Linked DNA regions of Drosophila melanogaster. The protein of the gene in region 1 interacts with the protein of each later gene in a pairwise test. Each region holds a gene or a part of one and is shown in the gene's direction. Other genes may lie near its edges.

Evidence for each region.
Region 2: the proteins of f (region 1) and Sema2a interact in a two-hybrid assay, tested with the Drosophila melanogaster proteins (one large-scale study listed by BioGRID).

Annotation. Positions count from the first base shown.
Region 1 is NC_004354.4:17,254,495-17,264,293, forward strand, and holds the start of f (forked), read left to right. Parts: upstream 1-4,879; 5' UTR 4,880-4,980; coding exon 4,981-5,837; intron 5,838-8,145; coding exon 8,146-8,484; intron 8,485-9,799.
Region 2 is NT_033778.4:16,512,186-16,522,066, forward strand, and holds the start of Sema2a (semaphorin 2a), read left to right. Parts: upstream 1-3,964; 5' UTR 3,965-4,085; intron 4,086-4,268; exon of another isoform or gene 4,269-4,348; intron 4,349-4,734; exon of another isoform or gene 4,735-4,833; 5' UTR 4,834-4,990; coding exon 4,991-5,156; intron 5,157-9,881. UniProt on the Drosophila melanogaster protein: Ligand for transmembrane receptor PlexB. Plays a role in growth cone guidance. Required for both proper adult behavior and survival. Can function as a selective target-derived signal that inhibits the formation of specific synaptic terminal arbors.

The DNA of each region.
Region 1 (9,799 bases):
CATTTTCATCTTTTCCATGTTTTCCATCGCCTCGAACGGGTTTCCCACCCATCGGTGTTGTGTGTTGTGTGCTTGTCGCGAATCGTAATTGGCCATTTGTCCAAGTGCTTCCAGCCCCCGATCGATTTGGCCAAGACCTGCACGCATTTGGTCATTAGCAGAGCGCAGAAAGCTAAAGCCGCCGAGGGAGAGCCATAAATCAACCAAGTTCATTGATGTTTGGCGTTTGGCGGCTGGGAAAATCTCGTTAATCCGTACGCACAAGGTTCATTACAGGCTTTTAGTTAATGTGGCAGGCAAATGGGAAACAAAAATTAAAATATTAATTATTTTCAGTGTTAACATATAAGTTATCAATACATCTTCTTCTAACTTAAGTTATCTCTGGGTGATAGGTAGTTTAAAAAGTTATATTAATTTTAAAGCTAAGATCTAATGTATATTAAGAATATTTTTTGATAGTTGTTAAAGAATTATATTGCTAATCAGCATTGTTACAGTACACATTCCATTAGATGAAAAAACATACGGCCAAATGGCATACAACTTTTTCATCAGATTTCCTCAGGTTTTCCAACTCAAAGCTCTTGACTACGTGGTTCAGTTCAAAGTGAAGGGTATTCTGCATATTCATATTTGCATTCATGTTTGCCAGACTGTCGACTCATTTTCAGTCTCCACTCGAAGGCAGGGCATTCACCGAGCTTCTCCTCTTTGGGATTTCATTTAGTTTTTGTTTACAAGGGGGCGGCCAGGTGTTAGGGGGCGTGGCAGGAGGGCAGGCGGGAGGCGTAATGGAATGGACCACGACCTGTCACAACTTGGGTGAGTCTTCAGGTGAGCGGACGGACGCTGATGTCTCGTCTTGTTTGAACATTTTGAACATTCGTTGACGGCTGATTGTTGGACAAATGTTTGTTTCTCGGACTTTTGCCATGGCTTACTTTCACGGACGAACTTCATTTGAATCGCATAAATGAGTGATTGAATAAACTCAGATTTGCATATGAATAACACGGGAGATTCGCAGAAAGAGACGGGCATATTTTGATAGCAAGAGAGAGGTACACAGAGAACTTTTTTGGGCTATCGAAAAATGTGAGCGCAACTTAAACTCACAAAAGAAATATTTAAATCAAAGATTGCTCATAATTATTTTACAACTAGCTTAAATTTGGTAATAACTTTTTAAAACATTCTTAACTAGAATGAATTTATATCATACAAATTTCTTTGATTTATTTAAACGAACCTGTTTTTTCGTGCGACCTTTTAAACACCGATCGCCGAAGATGCCGAAGAATTCTTTTTAGACAGTTTAGCACATTGACTTTTGCTTTCTACTTTTCCTCTTCCATTTTCACACACACGAAAGTGAAAACTTGCCGTGTTTCGATTCTCGGCCGTTCGAAAATTTGAATTTGAATTGACGGATGGGGCAAGATATATTTAGGTGCCATGTGAGATCTTCGATCTTTGATGATCTAAACCGCTTCGACGGATGGATGAAAACGAAGCGTTTACCGTTCGATCAAAGTCTTGTAGACTGTTCTGCTTTTGATTGGCGAATACCGAGAAATAAAACAATGGAGCGAAAAGTAAAAGTATGCAAGATGTGGTCGCAGTAGTTCGAATATCGGAAGTAAATGAAATCTAAGCACCATAAGTCTACAAATATTTGTATATAATTGTTATAATATAAAATATATATAACTTGAAATGTATTGTATATATTTATTTTAAATTAAGTCAAATTCATTTAAAATTAACCCAGTTTTTATGTATTCCCCCGATTTTCCGTATTGCGCAATTACCCAAATATTCGTAAATCCGTATAGCAGTTTTATTTTCTTCTTTCGTTTTTATTGCCCCACCACAGTGCTATTAAAATTTTTTTGTTGCTGCGAGTGGTGCTGCTTAATGTTTTATGTTTATTTCCTATCCGCCGAGTGGGGCACACAGTTACCCACCGAACAAACTGTTTTCCAGCGCGCCCAAAAGAAATTATTTTCCTTTTTATGGCTTTACCCTTCAAAATCACTGAAGCATTTGTTGGCTGATGATTTCAGCTGTTTTCAAATTGTTAATTTTCGTACTTCGAATACTTCGCAGATTAATAGTCCACCAGCCGTTAAAAAAAAGCTAAGAGTGGGTCAGAAAAATTAATAGTACATTAAATAGAAATTTTCTTAGGAAATATTTTCAAGGACTTCTTTTGATTTTAGGACAATAAGCTATGAATAAGTACTTCCTGTTAGATGTGTGACTTTTACATCTGCTTAAATTATAGTGTAATATAATAATGTAATCTTTTGTCCTGGGAGAAATCTGTAAAACAATATTATTTAATTTCCTCTGGAGATTAGCGAAATCTTAACAATTTCTATAGAGATAGATTTACAGCAAACAAATTATAACGGTTCTGGCTTTATTATATTTATGGTAATTACAAATTAAAACACATATCGAAATACACACTCGTTGCGCAATTTTAGCGCCGAATGCCCACAGGCAATGTAAATACAATAAATATATTATCGATATGACTTGGGATGTATGTCACATCACTTTGATGGACTGAATGGATGCGATTTGGACAGCCTTCGGCCAGATGTGAATTTGAATTTGAATGGCAAGCGACAAATACGTGAAATGCGGATGGATGGTATGGATGGACCTCCATTATAATGTGCTCTGTTATATTTGCATTATAACTACGACTCAATGGCGGCCTTTCTAAGCCACCTAATGGCTCTCATCTCTGGCGTTTTCATTTTCATTGCTCTTTTTGGGTCACATGGCCCAGAGGGAAAGATATTACGCAGAGTTTGAGTTCGAGGTTGAGGCTAAGCACTTTAACTACAAGTTTTTAATTTTTCAGCAGCTGAATGTCACGTAATATTCGTATGACACCCGCAGCCTGAGCGCCATTGAACCAGAAATCGAGGCAACTCTTTACGCCATCTGCACACGCTTTTCATGAGTCACACAGCTGGAAAAGCCGGGTGGAAAAGTACGGAGGAAAAGCGCGCAGGTGGAGTTGCTCAATTGCCACTCAAGAAGCTGCAAGCCAGCCCCAATTCATTTACATTCGCCACGCCTGAGTTGAGCCCGTTCTAGGGGCACAAACTCTATATAGTTACATACTATAAAGTATATAGCATAATTGATATTTGGCATGCCTCGAGTACAATAGGCACTTCGTGTGGCAAATGATTTAGAAGGCAATGAGAACTATAAACACTAGGCGGATATTTTGCAACTTAATTGCATATTTTCTATAGAAATTAGCTAAACTTCGATCAAGGCAAATGGAAAACGATGATGAAATTGGCCTTAAGTAGCTGAAATAATTATAAAGACTATTATGTACTATAACAAATATGTTTTACAAAAAATATTTACATATTTAAAATATTTACAAACGTAATTTTAAATAATTCTTTTTATAGTTATAGGATAAAATATATTATAACATCTTCAACAATTCATGAACAGATAAATAATAAAAATATTTTCCAATAGATCAACGTGAAATTATAGTTAAGAGATATGATTAATTCGTTTCAAGTATTGTTTTATGAACCTATATTTGTACTATATATGTGGACTATAAAAGGGCCTATTTCACTGTCGCAATTGTTGGTTAATTTGGCCAATACAATGCCAATGGCCCGATGCCGTCAATTAGCCGAGAATAGAATTGTGAACTCGAATTGCAGAATGGCCAGCAACAGCGGTGATAATACCAACAACTATGGGCTTTAGTTAATATTACTATGCATGCCAGTGTTGTTGTTTCTGTTGTTGCTGACGCGTGCTCAGCCGAGTGAAGCGACGTCGACGTCGACGCCGTCAGAGGGTTGCCCCAGAGCAGAGTTGACATGGCAGTGAGCGTGAAAAATAAATAAATAATACAATCAGAGGGGCAGCTAAGCCCGCGACTCTTCAATATTGAGCAAACGTTGAACGTGCACAGAGAGAAAATGCTAGCCTGAGTCCGGGCAAAGTGGATGTAAATCACCTTTAATAGCTTCAGTCCGAACCTGCTAGAAAGTGATTTAAAATGAGTGAAAAGTAAGATAAAAATTAAAATGTTTAAATACGAAAATAAACTTGCAAATAAAAAGCAGTAAAGTCATACAATAAATCTAAGTTTTAGAAGTAGACCGTTAGTGAATAATTGAACAGTTTTACAAGTTGTCGATCCTGTCACACTTGAAATAAATAACTAAAGAAATAGGTATTAAATGACGCAGAAGTCACTCAAGTTCCTATTTAAAAAGGTAAAATGTTTTTTAAAAGTAAATTTGTTTTCATTTTGTTTTGAAAAATATGGTCATTTAGATTGTAAATATTGTATTTAATTTTTTTTTATTTGCAAAATTACAATTATTACTATTATTAAGAGTATTCATTATAGTTAAGTGTGTTAAAATTAATAAAAAAAAATTTAAGTAGATATTAAATGGGCATTTGCAATATTTGTAGCTGCGTGTAGCTGCGGCAGCAGTGGCATATCGGCAAACAAAGCGGCACCAACAACACCAGCAGCTCCAACAAAACAGCCCATAATCACAATTACAATAACAAAAACATTTACATCAACAATAACAATAACAATAACAGAGAAGAGCAGCAACAGAAAACTCTTAATCATGAGTGGCGTTTGGCTGGCAGCGCAGCTGGCGCAACGTTTTTGCATAGGAATCCGACTGCGGATTTTGAAGTTGTATCTTTTTTGGCCAGCGAACATTTGCGTCGCCGGCGTCACGGAGCGCGGACGCGACAAACGCGACATTGCCGAGCGGAAACCGGAAAACGAGCGGGTTTTCAGAAAATCAGAAACAGAACGCAATCAGTGACATAAAGTCAACTAGTTCGGGAATTTGGGGGAACGAATTTTCGGGGTGGGAACGAACGTACAAATACGTATATAGAACCAAAACCAGAAGAGGAACAAGCCACGAAACGAATCCAATGGCCAGTTGTGCGCCGGTGATCGTGTGGAACGGTGCTCAGTTTACGGCCAGCAGCAGGGAGCTGGAGCAGCTGCGTCGCGATTACGGTCTGGATGCTCGGATGTTGGAGGCGACACTGGTGCCGCGATATAAACGCCACAAGCCGCAGGCAGCGGCACGGAATGATCACGTTCGTGTGACCAAGGAGCAGCAATCGGATTGGATCCTCAAGCAGGATCGCAGCACCAACGTCAGCCAGGTGAACTTCCATCCCTGGGCGGGTGCTCACTTCGACTTGGTGCCCTGGCGTCGCACGCGATCCGCTTTGGATTTGACAGCAGTGGAGGATTACAATCACGGTCTGGTCGATCCCAAATCGCTGAAGGGTCTGGAGAAATTGGAGCTGAGACAGCAGCGCAGGAGGTTACAGCGCGCCAGGTCAACGCATCAGGGTCTCCGGCGATTGGTGCGCGTCCGCTTGATCTTCTCCATCGAGCTGCGGCACAAGCGGATGGAGGTGCTAAGGAAAAGTTCGCTGCCCGTGCGGGTTTTCGAGCAGCGCTTTGCCCTCTCGGAAAACGAGAGCGCCGCCTACGAGCGCATCCTGCTGGATGCCAATGCGGGAGTGGACCAACATGTGGGCTATTTTAGCAAGAGGCAAGTGGTTACATCCAACCGGGAATCCAACGAAGAGTTGGTGGTGGATTTCGCAAGCGAAACGGAGGCGGATGAGAAGGCAGATGAGCAGCCGGAAAAGGAGGAGGCCCAATATGCCACAATAGCTCCAGCGGAAAAAGGAGGCAGTGCAGCAGTGCCCGACAAGGAATCCGGCCAGGTGCCATGCGTCAAGTGCCGCGATATTGCCATCAAATTGAGGTAAAAGAAATCGCTAGAAAAAATAAACAAAAACGGCAAACCAGAACACAAATTAGCTGCAAAAATAGACGAGCGCCAAAATCAATTAGTTACAGTAATATGTCGATAAAGACTACAAACAAGTGCAAATTCTACAATAATATGGGAGTGCAAGAAATATCAATTTATTGACTATGGTTCTATATTTAGTGCTATATTTTTTTAAGTGCTACCCGAAATATTTGATATCAGTGCAACCTTTAAAAAATCTTTGGAAACTCGTATTATTATTTAATGAGTCTGTTGCCACGACAAAATCCGGGATGGGTATATAATTTATAGTTTTTACCCATCGGATTATGTGCGAACTTTTGGATCGAAAGCAGCTTGCAAATTTCCCACAAACTCTCCGGCTTTCCCATTTCATAAAAACCCACAGATCTTCATGAGTATAATTTCTTAAATGATTATTTTCTTCCGTTCTCTGTTCTTTCACTTTTTCCGAACTTTGACCATCCCCTTCCTCTCCCATACATATTTACTTAACTATTTATGTTTTTGTTTTGATGCTATGAACGAAAGGTTAATAGAAACAAACTCTAAAGTCTGTAGATTATTAAACTATTTGTATTGTTTAATACTCACTTAAAGCAGCTTGCCTTGAAAGGTTTATAATTTTGCTTTTTGAATTACAGTATTAACCGCATGGATGCGTTTGCCATGCTCATTAGTATCTTAGCCAAAAATATTTTGTATATAGGAGTATTGAGCAAATACATTTTTTAAATAGCTGCACGAATCAATAAGTCTAATGCGAACAGCCAATTGGAAATGTAAAATTTAGTTGTTTCACCTTTAAAATAAGTATTTACTTTCTGTTTACTTGAGTTATATCACGAGCCAGCGATCAAATGAAGCCAAAAAACAGAGGGCACCTCTTAACACCCTTAAAGATCATAATTTTCTTAACCCCCTTTGCCACTTCAGTTGACCAACTGGCCTGCAATGCTATTGCCAAATAGCTTATTTCACTTTTTTCTTTCTCAGCTAAATGTTTGTGAGTTTTGTCGGATTGTTAGCTTTGTTGGCTATGTTGGCTTTGTGGTTTTCGTGGGTTTCATGGGCTCGGTGGCACCTGCCCTGTTTTGTTGACACCTGCTACCGGCCCGCTTCCATTTTCCATTTGCCATTTGGTGTGTTCGGCGATGCCAGCGTTGATGCAATAAACTGGAAGAAAGTGTCGTCTTCGCGGCTTTCTGTTTCTTTTTGTTGCCACAAGAGGAAAGCAGCGACAAACGAGCAAAGACAAACGAGATCCATCCACAAATGCCCGGTATTTTCGCATTTTAATGCTGGCGGCGCTGCTTCTCAGCTTTCAATTAATGTGTCGCCGTGTGTATTGTTTCTCTTAGCATTATTATTATGATTGTTATTGTTTATTTGTGCCGCGGAAACGGCAATCAGGTGAGTCAGCAGCAGACTTGACCTGGTTTAGTGATTCGGAAAAGGGCACTCAGTGAATCCAAGTGCAGCCCAAGATGCGCACAAAGATGCCATCAAAATTAATAACCATCACTTCCCCCGGCCAATTAATTAATTAAAAGTTGTGCCTAAATGGCTGTCAAGCAAACAATTTAATAACAATGAGCAATTTTCGTGGGCTATATTGAACATGCTACTAGATTTGCAACAAGAGTAAAAAAAAAACAATTAGCTATTAGTAAAGAGAAAAATGAAATAAAAGTGAATTTTAAGGAAATTTGTAACTAATTTGCTTCGCAACAAAGGTAAACTTATATATTATTTAGTGTTCCTAGATATTAGTAAAAAGGAAGGCGTTAAATGAATTTCAATAATATATTAAATATTTAGTTTTAAAATTGTGTTGCACTTTCTTGGCAAGTTCGTGTCTTAAGTCCTTAGCTTAGTGTGTAAGTTTGTGTCTTAAGTCATTTGTTTGGGGTGCAGAAAAGTAGACTGCAATTGGAGATACAAAGCAAGCTGAAAAGTATGCAATATTTTTTCTCTGCTGACCCTTGTCAAAGGAGATCGGGAAATGAGATCCCTCGGTTGCCTTCTATTGAGCCTCCTTGGTGGGCGAGATCTGTTAAGAGCGCTGGCCAGCCGATTTCTGTCGCGCTCCAGCCTGTCATGGTATCTGCTCGAGTGCTGGTTTATCTCGTCAAATACCGTTGCTAGTTTGAGGTCTTTGTGCAGGGTTGTGTTCCTTACGAACCATTCTGCTCTACATAATTTGGCTAATAAGTCATTAAGCTACTTTCTTACAAATTGTTAATTATTCTATTCCTTATTCCTTTCCATCCTGCAGAACCATAAACGATTATGCGCTCAATTCGAATCTGCACCTAAGCCACAACACCAAACTAAACAATCTGCACAGCAACAAGCTCCTCCACAGCAACCAAAGCCACAGCAGCAGCATCAATCCGAGCACAAGGATGCACTCCCACCAGCTGGATTCCTACCTGGGCGGAGTGGGCAGTATGATGAATCTGGGCGGCATGGGCCAAGTTGGCCAGATGTACCATCCGGGGAGCGTTTCCGGCAGCGAAAGACCCAACGGAGGAGCTCTGGCCCTTCACTATGCTGCCGCACGTGGTTGCCTTGATTGTGTCCAACTGCTGGTCGCCGCATCCGTGGATATTTGGTAAGTAGATGAGTTACTGTCCCAAAGGAGTATAGTATATGATGACCAAAAGTTGCATCGCGATTTGAGTGCGGGGTGAAAGCTCTTGCACCAGCCGTTCATTGTTTTTATGTGTCGGGGAAATCGCTCGACGATCGATGGCTCCACTTTGTGTTTTATTTTTCCCCCATCTGTCTGCATTTCCATTCGATGCGGTTTCTTTCCATTTACTTGCGACAATTATTCTCATTAGGGGTTTCTTATCTGATTCGATTAGTATAAGAGCTGAAACAAGTGAATTAGTGGCTGTGGAAATCTAACTAAATTTGGACTTGGTTATAAAATCCATTTCGAAACGTATGGTGGTAATTATAGCAATGCTTTAAAAACAAGATTAAGAGAGAAAAACGACCAATGTATGTATATATATTTTGAAAAAATTAAAGAACTGGTAATCAATATTTTAGAATACTCTTTTCTTAAGCGAAAATGATATTTGGCAGGTTTATATAGATTTCCAAGTATCAATTCCGTACAAACGTATTATTAAAAGTATTATATTGTTCGATTTATGTACACCATTTTGCCTAGTTGTAATAATCATTCAAATGGAAGCATTTAAGTGTATTAAGCCTTCGTAACGATCTGATTATCATAAACTGAATCAACGATGATGTCGATTTGAGAATTTATCTACCTGGTAAGCTGGGAGTAGTCATTAAATGCACTAATTAAAACTTATTAGCCCATCCAACAAAGTAGAAAGAATGAAGGCGAGTGGTGAAAAACTAGGAAAAAGGCAAGGAAAACCTGGCGAATATCTTGGAAAATCTATCCGCTAAGTGGGTTACCGATCCGTGGCCAGTGTTTGATTCACCTAAATTCCTGTGCTCCAACAGCAGCACGCGTCCAAAGCTGATTCATTTAATTGGGAAATGGGAATGGGAATCCAACTGGCCAAGGCGAGCCAGCCAAGCGAGATGCACTCCATCTTCAGCCCTCCTTGGCCCCCTGAATCGCCTACGATCCCATGCCATCCCATCGAGTCCAGGCCAGGTTTGGTTCTATCGTGTGCTATTTTCAATTGGAGTCAAACTGGAAAACTCACAGCGGCACAAAGCACCGTTGCAACAAGTTTTCCTCACTCGCCACGAAGTGGAGCAACTCCGGACTGACTGGCCAAGGAATCAGAATTGGACTCAGAATCACAGTCGGAATCGGAGTCAGAATCAGTGCCACTGCCTGATCCCCACCTCCCTCGATCGTCCCCAGCTATATTCATATTTACAAAGCGCCAAGGCAGATCAATTGACATGACAACTGACATGGCGACACA
Region 2 (9,881 bases), on another chromosome or scaffold:
TCCCCAGTTCGGCAGGCACTTCTTCTAGTCTGTTGCACGCGATCAAAAGGCTTGCCGCTTTGTTTTTTCCCCCCAATTCAAAATGCAACGAATTCTGCACCGTCTGCTGCATTCGCATTTGCATTCGTATTCGCATTCGCATTTCGCAGTCGTACTTTGCAGTCGCATTGAGTGACACAATATAAATCCGAAAGTAGTTGAACCCCGTCTCGCTGGCGACCAAAATGCTTTTTTAATTATGCACATGGAAGGGAGACAAAAAGGAGTGCGGAGGAGCAAAAACTGCCGGCAAGTTTTGTTTGCCGACGAGTTAGAACTCTGAAGCTGCCAAGCCAACTTCCTGACTAGTCTGAAGTCTGTCTCTGTCTCTGTCTCTGTCTCTGGCTCTTATCCTCGTCGTTGTCCTCCATCCTGGTACTGCTACCGCCACTGGTACCGCCCATATGCCCCATACTCACGCCCTCTACGGCTAGACAAGATTTGTTTATCTGGCTCTTTCTGCACTTGTTCTGCAACTTTTGTTGCTGCATTTTGCCGCAATCTGTCTGTTTGATGTGACACTAATCCCGGAAAATTCCGGCTGACTTCTGCGTCACCCACTTCGAAGGTAGGTGATCTGATCTGTGGGATCTACGCTTAAGTTCAGTCAATCTAATCGTGGTCGCATTATAGTGCTTGTTTAAGAACCATCTATGCTGCAGCAGAATTTTTTGAAAACATTGTTTCAACATATATGTATTATTTCAATATATATTACTTCAATATATATATTATGAATTATAAATGTTTGATACGCCTTATCGCTACTTCCAAGTTCTGACTTACCGTAGGTCTCAAGCATCTCAAAGATACAAAGTCTGCGACTTGTAGATACATTTGAGCTCAAGAGGGGTAAAAGGAAAAGCTTGTCCGCCATCGTTAAGGTGACGTCATAATGTCTGCAATACAAATACATGCAATTATGTTTTGTGTGCGATAACTTGTCATTATGCAAAATATGCTGCATTATTTATAGCATAAACACAGGCGCTGACATTGCATGTCAGGCCAAAGTTGAATCCGAATGGCGTAAAAAGGCAAAAAAAAACTGCAGAGCTTGGCCCAAAGGCACAAAAAACACACCGAGTGCAGAGTCGTTGTAAACAAACGAGTGGAGGCACAACAATGTGCAACACAATTGCTGCCGCACTTAAAATTAATTGAACTTGAAACAAGTGCAGCCGCAGCCGCAGCGCCAACTCATGAGAAATTCTGTGGTCGAGCCAAAAGGCAAAAACTTTTAGCCCACACACATACACACACACACGCACACCATCACGCCTCACACTTGCAGAAAGCTTTCATTAGTTCTGGCCGGCCAAGTTTTCCTCGTAGTTTACTTTTTCTGGTCAAGTTCCAACGGCAAACTTAATATTTAGTGCCATTTGCTTGCTCTGACAGTTTCCAGAAGTCAAATCGTTCTTGTTCTTGTTCGTCGCCGATGCCGCTGCCTTTGTACAGTCAACACACGGTAACAGGAATCTGTTTGCTTTTTTGACAAGAGCACCTTGATAGATGCAACAACTTGGAAAGTTAATAAAAGGAGTATCTCAATGCTAAAAACAAAATAAAGTTCTTAGCTGTAAATATATCTGTGAATTGGTTCTATTTTTTAGGACATATGAGCATATTCATTAGATTTATAAAACCAAGTACAGAAGTCCCAAGCACGGAAAAATATAATTTTTAGCCGAAAATAAAGCTATATCCTTGCGTTTTAAATGTTTTATAATTTCAGTTGAGCCAAATCTTCTATAGGCTTATTTCACTGCAGTTGTTGTTGCTGCTCTTGTTGGTCAGTCCAGTTTTTATTTTTCTTTTGGCTTTTTGGCTTTCTGCGCGAACAAGTTGGTAGGAAGAAAGTGCATTGAAATCTTTGTAAGTATCTTGAGTAAGCCAACTTGGGACGACAACAACACAACAAAGGACAAGCAGCAGAACAACAAATAACAAAACAGGACATTCACAACAAATGGTTTTTATCGCTTTCTCAAGCTGTGTATGTGTGTGCGTGTGTGTGTCTGTCAGTGTGTTGGTGTGGTTCGCTGCTGGTTATTTGGCCAACTTTTTATATAATGCATGAAAGTTGCCGGCCGCTGACAAGTTGAGCGACCAACAATGTTTGGCGAGACAAGTTCCATGTATTATTTGGCACAATCAAAATGCTATTTAGGCTCTCTCCCAATTTATTAAGTAATAAATTGCATCACAAAATAATAAGCAAAACGAATGCTAGTTTTTATGTTTATATGAAGGGTGGTTGATTGGCAACTATTTCATTTTACTTGAATTTCTCTTTTCGTCCCTTAAATTGTTGCATGACTTCTTATGGAATGACGTGTACTTTTTAGATTTGAAATTATTATTTAATTGACCGCAACTAAAGGATTCCGAGATGAAGAAAGCGAAAGAACTAAACAAAACACATCCCATCTTTTTCCCACACATACATACGTGTGCGAGTATGTGCTACGTGTGAGTGCGTTGTGCCTTTGTTTGTGTACGTGTTGGGGCATACGCGCTGTGCAAAGTGCGCTAAATTAAGCTGTCATTAAGGACTTAATTAAAGTCCTTTGTTGAAAGTTGACATTGTGTGAAAGAAACGTTTGCGAAAACAAATGACAATGGCGACGTTGTCGCTGCTGCACTTGAAAGGCTATCCCCCGAAAAAGGGAAAAAAACCCAAAAATGGCAACCAACATCAAAGCAACTACAAAGCGGCAACAACAATGCGGGCTAGAACGAGAGTGAGTGTGAGAGAGGGAGAGGCAATGAAATAGAGGGATAGAGTGAGTGAACATGTGTCAAAAATTTTCAACAGTATCATGATGCAAGTGCTCCTTTGGTCGCACGGTCGGGTGCGAGGGGGACGACTAGTGTGGTGATTCTGCGAAAACTCATTAGCAGGCAAACAGAGAGAAAAGGCCAGGCAGACACAATCAACCAGTGGCGTGCGCAAGGATTTCTTGTGGGGGTTAGCCAATGATTGCGATCAAAATTATTAAATTTTAGTTGGAAACGTTTGCACTATATTATAAGTTTCTTACCTTTTTTTTCTTTGATGGTCACGTACCACCTGAGCTGATCAGTGCCTCAAACAATCATCATTAACATCTCAGCTGAATAATTGAATAAACTACAGCCCCTACGCCACTGATGGAAACGAAAGCACGCACAGGTGGCACCCGTACAATAGAAAATATCAAGGAGATGCGAAAACATAACCGACTTGCTTTTTAATTAAATATTTTGCCAAGCAGACACTCAAATGCCAGAGACACTAGCAAACTGCGTTTAATTGCCGCTCGAGGCTGCTAAATGCAAGGATTCGTCTGCATACCTGCCATCCATCCATCCATCCTGCCGCCCGTTTTGTGTGTGTCTGGGTTGGCAAATGTTTGCCTATTGCCAAAATTGTCGTTGTCCTTGTTGTCCTTGCTAAAAATCACTTTGCCGCTTCCGCACGGTGAAGTACGAAAATTGAATACCGCCATTCTGCAACGGCATTTTGTGGCAAGGAGCAAGGATTATATCGACAAATGAAAATCCACGACGCTCCACGAATATTAAACAAAGTTTTGTGTCAACAGTTTTTACCTTTTCTTAAGAATAATTTAAGAAATAGTTAAAATCGGCTTGAATACGTCAAAGAAAATATTATATTATATATTAACTAACTTAAAAAGCAAGCGCATTGTAAACAGACAAAAATAAGAAAGCATATTTCAAAGTTAGCCAAAATAAAATCTAAAACTTCTGATATAAAGAGAAAAAGTTATGCAAATTATATATATTTTAAATATTATTTTCAAACACGATCACCATTGTTGGTATATACCAAAAACCCAAACGCGTGACTGCGATAGTCATTCGACTTAAACGCGCTAGCGTTTTTCTCACATCTGCGCGATCGGAGCGATCGTGCGTTGTTGTTGTTTTCTCACTTCTACTTGTTGTCGGTTGTTCTTTTGTGTTTGGTGTTTCCGCTCGAGATTCTTGGGCATTTTACCAGTGTTCCCTTTCGTGGCGGAACTTGTTTCGCATCGGTAAAATATCTGAAATGCATTAGGCTTGCAACTATCTAATTGGCGTTTTGCAGTTCATTCAATTCGGAGTTCGATTTTCGAAATTCCAATAAACCGAAACTCCCAACAACAACTCAAGTGTGTATCTCTGGCTTTGTTGTTGCGTATGTGTGTGTGTGTGAGTGCGTGAGCAAGTTTGTGTGCGTGTGGGTTAAAGGCAAATTTTAAACTGAAAGCAAGGAAATATTTGCAGATTCATCATTTATTTATTGATGCAGTGCCTTGTAAATAGTATAAACTTTAAGAAACGCGCTCGTTCACCTTCCTTGTCTCTTTCCCACTCTCCAGCGTTGAGGAATTTTCATTGTTTCCCAATATTGTTGCTTTTTTTTTTGTTTTTCCGATGCGTGGGCATATAATAAACCAGTTTAACGTTTCCTTTTGCCTTTATCTTCATATCGCACATGCTTTCCGATGGCTAAATGCGTTGAAATCGAATTGAAAACCGAATTGAACACAGAACTGTGTAAAATGCATTACGCCTTTATGCGCCTGCAACGCATACATAATTAATCCGAAACGAAATTGGCACTACGACTGCGGGTCCAAAAAAAAAACATATATATATAAGGAGAAAAAAATAGCAGAGGGGTGCTATAAATCGCCCAAGGAAAGAAGTTTATTTTAAAATCCATTTGCCAGTGAAATCAATTCCATTGCAATTGCCGCAAAAGTGTGTAAAAATAATACAAGTTAAATGTGTTAACAGTTATTCGTGGGAAAAAACGTGCCGGTTTTTATTCATCAAACGGTAAAATCAACAAGCAACCGCCTCTCGCTCGCTCTTGCACTTTAATCCAATTGAGGTTGGTGGGGTCGCATTCGGCCCCCGGTCGACCACCCCTCTCGCTCGCACCGCCCTCGCAATGTCGCTTCTACAGCTATCGCCGCTCCTCGCACTCCTGCTACTCCTCTGCAGTAGTGTGAGCGAGACAGCTGCGGACTACGAGAACACCTGGAACTTCTACTACGAGCGTCCCTGTTGCACTGGAAACGATCAGGGGAACAACAATTACGGGAAACACGGCGCAGGTAACTAGCCAACTAACGGTATAAAAAGGGGCGGGAACACGGATTAAAACACACTTGTAAAATAAATTTTCACTTTTTGTGCCCTTTTTTCGAGGGGCTTTAAAAATTAAAAAAAATGTTAACAAAATCTTTTACTAGTTCACATTTCTTCGTAAAAACTATGTGAAATGTATGTTAATGTTCGTTACACTTAAAACTTAAGAATGAAAACATTATTTAAAACGCTATTTTACAACTTGATCATAACTTAAGTATGTATGAAAAAAATGAATTAAAATTGTTTCGCATTACTTATATTTTGTACAGGGTACTTAAATCGTCGGCTTACACGAATAAGACAGCTTTTTCCCCTTTTTTAACTGCGGCCAATATTATTTTTCAATCTTTCAGGCAACAACAAATTTGTAATTTATTTGCCATAATATTCGCACATGTTCTTTGTGCCTTTATTATTTATCTCGTTTGGTTCGATTTCAATTGCAACTATATTTTTTCGTTTCGGTTTGGGCCATTTTCCATTTCTGGCTCGGAGCATTGTGATTGTTGTTGTTTTTTATAATTTGCATATTAATGCGGTGCATTCATAGTGAATATTGCTGGTCCGCGCAATTGTGAATTGTTGCTATTCATATGCATATTTCATGTTTAAACAAATACCAATAATGTAATCATATTTTAACCATATGCAGTCCTATAATCCACAGAGATAAATCCTGAATGATATATAATTGACTGGGTTCCCTTAATCCCCCCCTCCCCTACCACTCTAGAAAAATGTGAATGCTTTACCATTTAAATGTTCAATCTACCTAGATTTTCCGCTGTATTTTTTTACAAGCCCTCTGTTTCGTAGACTTGGCCAGCTTTATTGAGTCATTAAAGCCTAAAAGTATTTAAAATTCATCTACGAGCGGCCACAAACAGGTTATTCACTTCTCTATGTCTAAGCCATGTTGGATTTTGCCAATAATTTTGGCCAGCATTCATTTATCATCGTGCGGTTGATTGAAAAGTTCCCCAGCATACATTGAATGTGGCTAGAGAACAGCAAAAAGCCATCAAGTATCAAGAACGCAGAAAATGTTGTATAAAAAATTTAAATCTCATTTAGCCAGGCTGGCCAAACAACAACAACAACAACAGCAATCCGGGTCAAGACCAGTAAACATTTTCTAATAGTCCACGTTCCGGAATGCCTGGCATGCCGTCCCCCTTGTCTCCACTATATCTTTAACTATAAGCCATAAGTGCAGCATAAAACTTCACGTGCCGACAACAACTTTTTGGTCCTTGCCGCATGTTGCGCTGTAAACTCAATAGCTAAGCACTTGCCCTAAAGGAAAACGTGAGACGATTAGGGAATCGTTCAAGCTGCTTGCGCATACTTTTCCGGGAGTTATATAGCAAAATCTATATGGGATAAGTCCGAAATGCATGCAGAAGGAGCTACAAAGTTCGAAGGTTGGACATTTGCACCAGATGCACTATATAAACCGATCGGCGGGCCATAAATTAAGGTAAAACCAACTAAACCACAAAAGCCACCGAACTGAATAACAACAAAACTCTAAAATGTCAACTATAAATTCCCCCGTTGATGCGGAATATTTATTGCATGTTTTTTTTTATCTTCTTCTTCTTTTACCCGTCTGTAAATGAAAAAGCACTATTTTCATTGATTTAAATGAAATTAATTGCACTTTATTTTAGGGTAGTACAAAATTTATGCCTCTCTATGGCATTTGTGAGTACCAATGCGGCCGCAACGTCCTCTGTCGCCACCTCGGCCACTTCAATTGGTTGACTCAGCGGTTTGACAGATGTTTCCACCACTCTGTACCCTAAAATTCTATTTTTATCTGCCGGATAGCTCTTCCCCTTTGTTTTCTCTCACAAAAGATACAAAGATACACGCACAAGGTGCTGCGACTTCATTATTAAGGCCAAACCCCTGATTATTGACTCATTTTTTGACCGGCAGGTAGCCAAAGGTTGAATTGTTTCTGTAGTCATAAAAAAAGGAAGGAAAAATAGAAACTAACTAATAGATTCACACAATCCATAGCACTTAATGGTATTTAATGCATTTACATCCAACTAACTAACTAATATAGTGCTTACAAGCTTGTAGATACTGGAAACTCTTAAGCATACCAATACGTTAAATGGTTTTCTATAAGCTTAAAACACATACATATCAAATTTGCAAAGCCAGAGGAGTAATGAACTCATTTGCTCTAAACTTCATCTAGCAAAAAGTGCAGCAAATAAAACTGAGCAACGCAACATGGCCAAGTGAGACAGTTTAGAATTATAGCAGTCATTTCTTATTTATTTTCAACTCTCTTGGTATATAGTTTTTATTGCCACAAATGGTGGATGAAGCTTGGGATTAATGGCTTCCGCGTTGTCTGATTTCTGGCCAAATGCAACAGCTTTAAGAGCTTCGCACTCGCTCGTGGTCTTTGTCAAACTGTATAGGCACACACTGCTGACCCATTAAAACGACAAAAGCGATAAAGGGATAGCCGAGTTCTTGCCCCCGGCTTTTATATTTCCTTCTTCTGGGTTTATTTTTTTTTTTGTATTTTTAGAGCCAGTAGCTGGGGTGGGGCTTCAGCTGTGCGTTCCACTTCATCATGACGGCAATGTCAAAAGCTGTTCACATAGCGGGTCGAATGGAGACCACCCCTTTCCTGTTGAGCCGGGCGGATGGCTGGCTGTTGGGTTGTTGGGTTGTTGGGTGGGGATTTACCTGGCTTTGAGCCGGGATTCTAGTCAAGCACTGGGGAACCACCCAAAGCATGTCAGCACGGAGCAACGTGGAGCTGCTCACAATGGAAACTTTGCCGCGAAATTGAATTTCAATGCAATACAGTGCAGTGCTGTGCAGTGCAGTGCCGTTCCCGACACCTCCAGTTGCAAGTGGGGCTTAATATTGCTTCCCTGCGAAGCTACAAGCGGCGGCGGCAACATCATTAAAAGTGTGTTTAAAGCGGACCCTTTTGGCCAAGTTTTAGTTGGCCAGCGAACGAACGGAAGGAAAATCACGTTTCGCCTTGGACAAGTTTGCCAAGTCCACTTGGAGAAAGGGGCATTCTCGAAATAGTGACTGAAATAAAAACTTTCGACTCTAATTATTAATATTTAATGTTAGGTGCGAGAAGTGCAAGTAGTGCTATTTTTTGAGTAACTAGGGGGTGTTTTCAGGGGTTTTTAAGTTAAGCTGAATAAGTAACTTTTCCACGCACCCCAAATCAATGAAAAATCCAACTAGAAATTGCCATTTTTTGTCGCAGTGCTTTGGCAAATATGTGCATAGTTATGTAACATCCGATTGATAGAACCCACTTAATGTAGGCGTTGCTGATTACAGCTGAGGAAGTCCGCTTATCGCTCGCAGGGTGATGGAAAAACGCCGAGAACAGAGAGATAGAGAAGTAAAAACAGGGGAAAAGCGGGAAAAGGAAAAACGGAAAACCGATAGCTAAGTGTCGCAAAATGTTGCAAAAGCAATTAGCACAGGCAACGGGCCAAATGCAATCAATCAACTGCAAATGCAGTTAGGCCACAGATTTTGTCGTTTGCCATAATTCAATCACCTTAAATTGATGCAAACAACTCGCTTAACGTTAATTTCAATTTGCCCATCATTTTAAGGTGAAATTTAATTAAATTTTCATTCATTGCCTGACTGCTCGCCGTTGCATATCTATGTATGTATGTACATGTGTGAGCTAGTTCGTATTTGTGCTAGCCTAATTGACTCAGGCTAAGCATGCTAAAGACCAAAATTTGCCTTCCCTTTTGTCTGGCCAAAATATGTTGCATATGGCAAGGAACTTGCGGCTTTGTGCGCACTTAAGTGGCAACAAGACGTGCAGCTGGACTCTGTGAATTCATGGAAAATTAAGCGAGCCGCAGAATGTTTTAGTTGCTGGGCAATTTTCCCATAAAGGTGGCCAAAACTAGCAAAAAAAAATAAAAATAAATGAATACCATCTGGGTAAAAAGGGCTGAGGGTAATAGAGCTGTAAATACTCATACGTAATTGTACACTTAAATAATACAGGATATATAATCACATCATTCAAATTTCTTTTATGAAATTCAAACTTTTTTATATTTGGTTAAAAAATTGAAATGGCTGATATTTTCAATAAATACGGCTTGGTGTTTGATTACGATAATTTTTTCAACTATCCACTCTAATATTCATTTGTTTTCTTTTACCTGCCCACATTTTTTCGCTCATTAAACTTCAGTTGTATATGTATATATCCTGTACAAGGGTATAAAAAGTGTGGGTTTTAAAACTATTTGAAGCGTTTATGTGGCGCACTCACACATGAGCCATCAAATGAAGTTGCACTGTGGAAATACCTACCTCTGCTACCACCTCGTTTTTAACCAAAAATGGAAACAGTTACCGCATCCGCATTTTGTTGCGTTTTTGTTGGCAGCTTTTGGGCGATGTCCAGGCCATATAACTAGGATACTCGGATGCTGGGATGCTGGGATACTGGGATGTCTAGTGCTGTTTTGACTGCTCTTTTGATGCTTTTTTATGAGTGCGCTCTTCGTTTTTTTTTTTTTTTTTTGCATTTCGCTATTTTGCAACAAAATGAACTTGCGCAGCGCATTGCTGCTGCCATAAAATGAACTAAATTGAGTTGAAAATGTTTTGCACAACTCTTCACCCCCCCAAAAAACTTCCTCTACAGT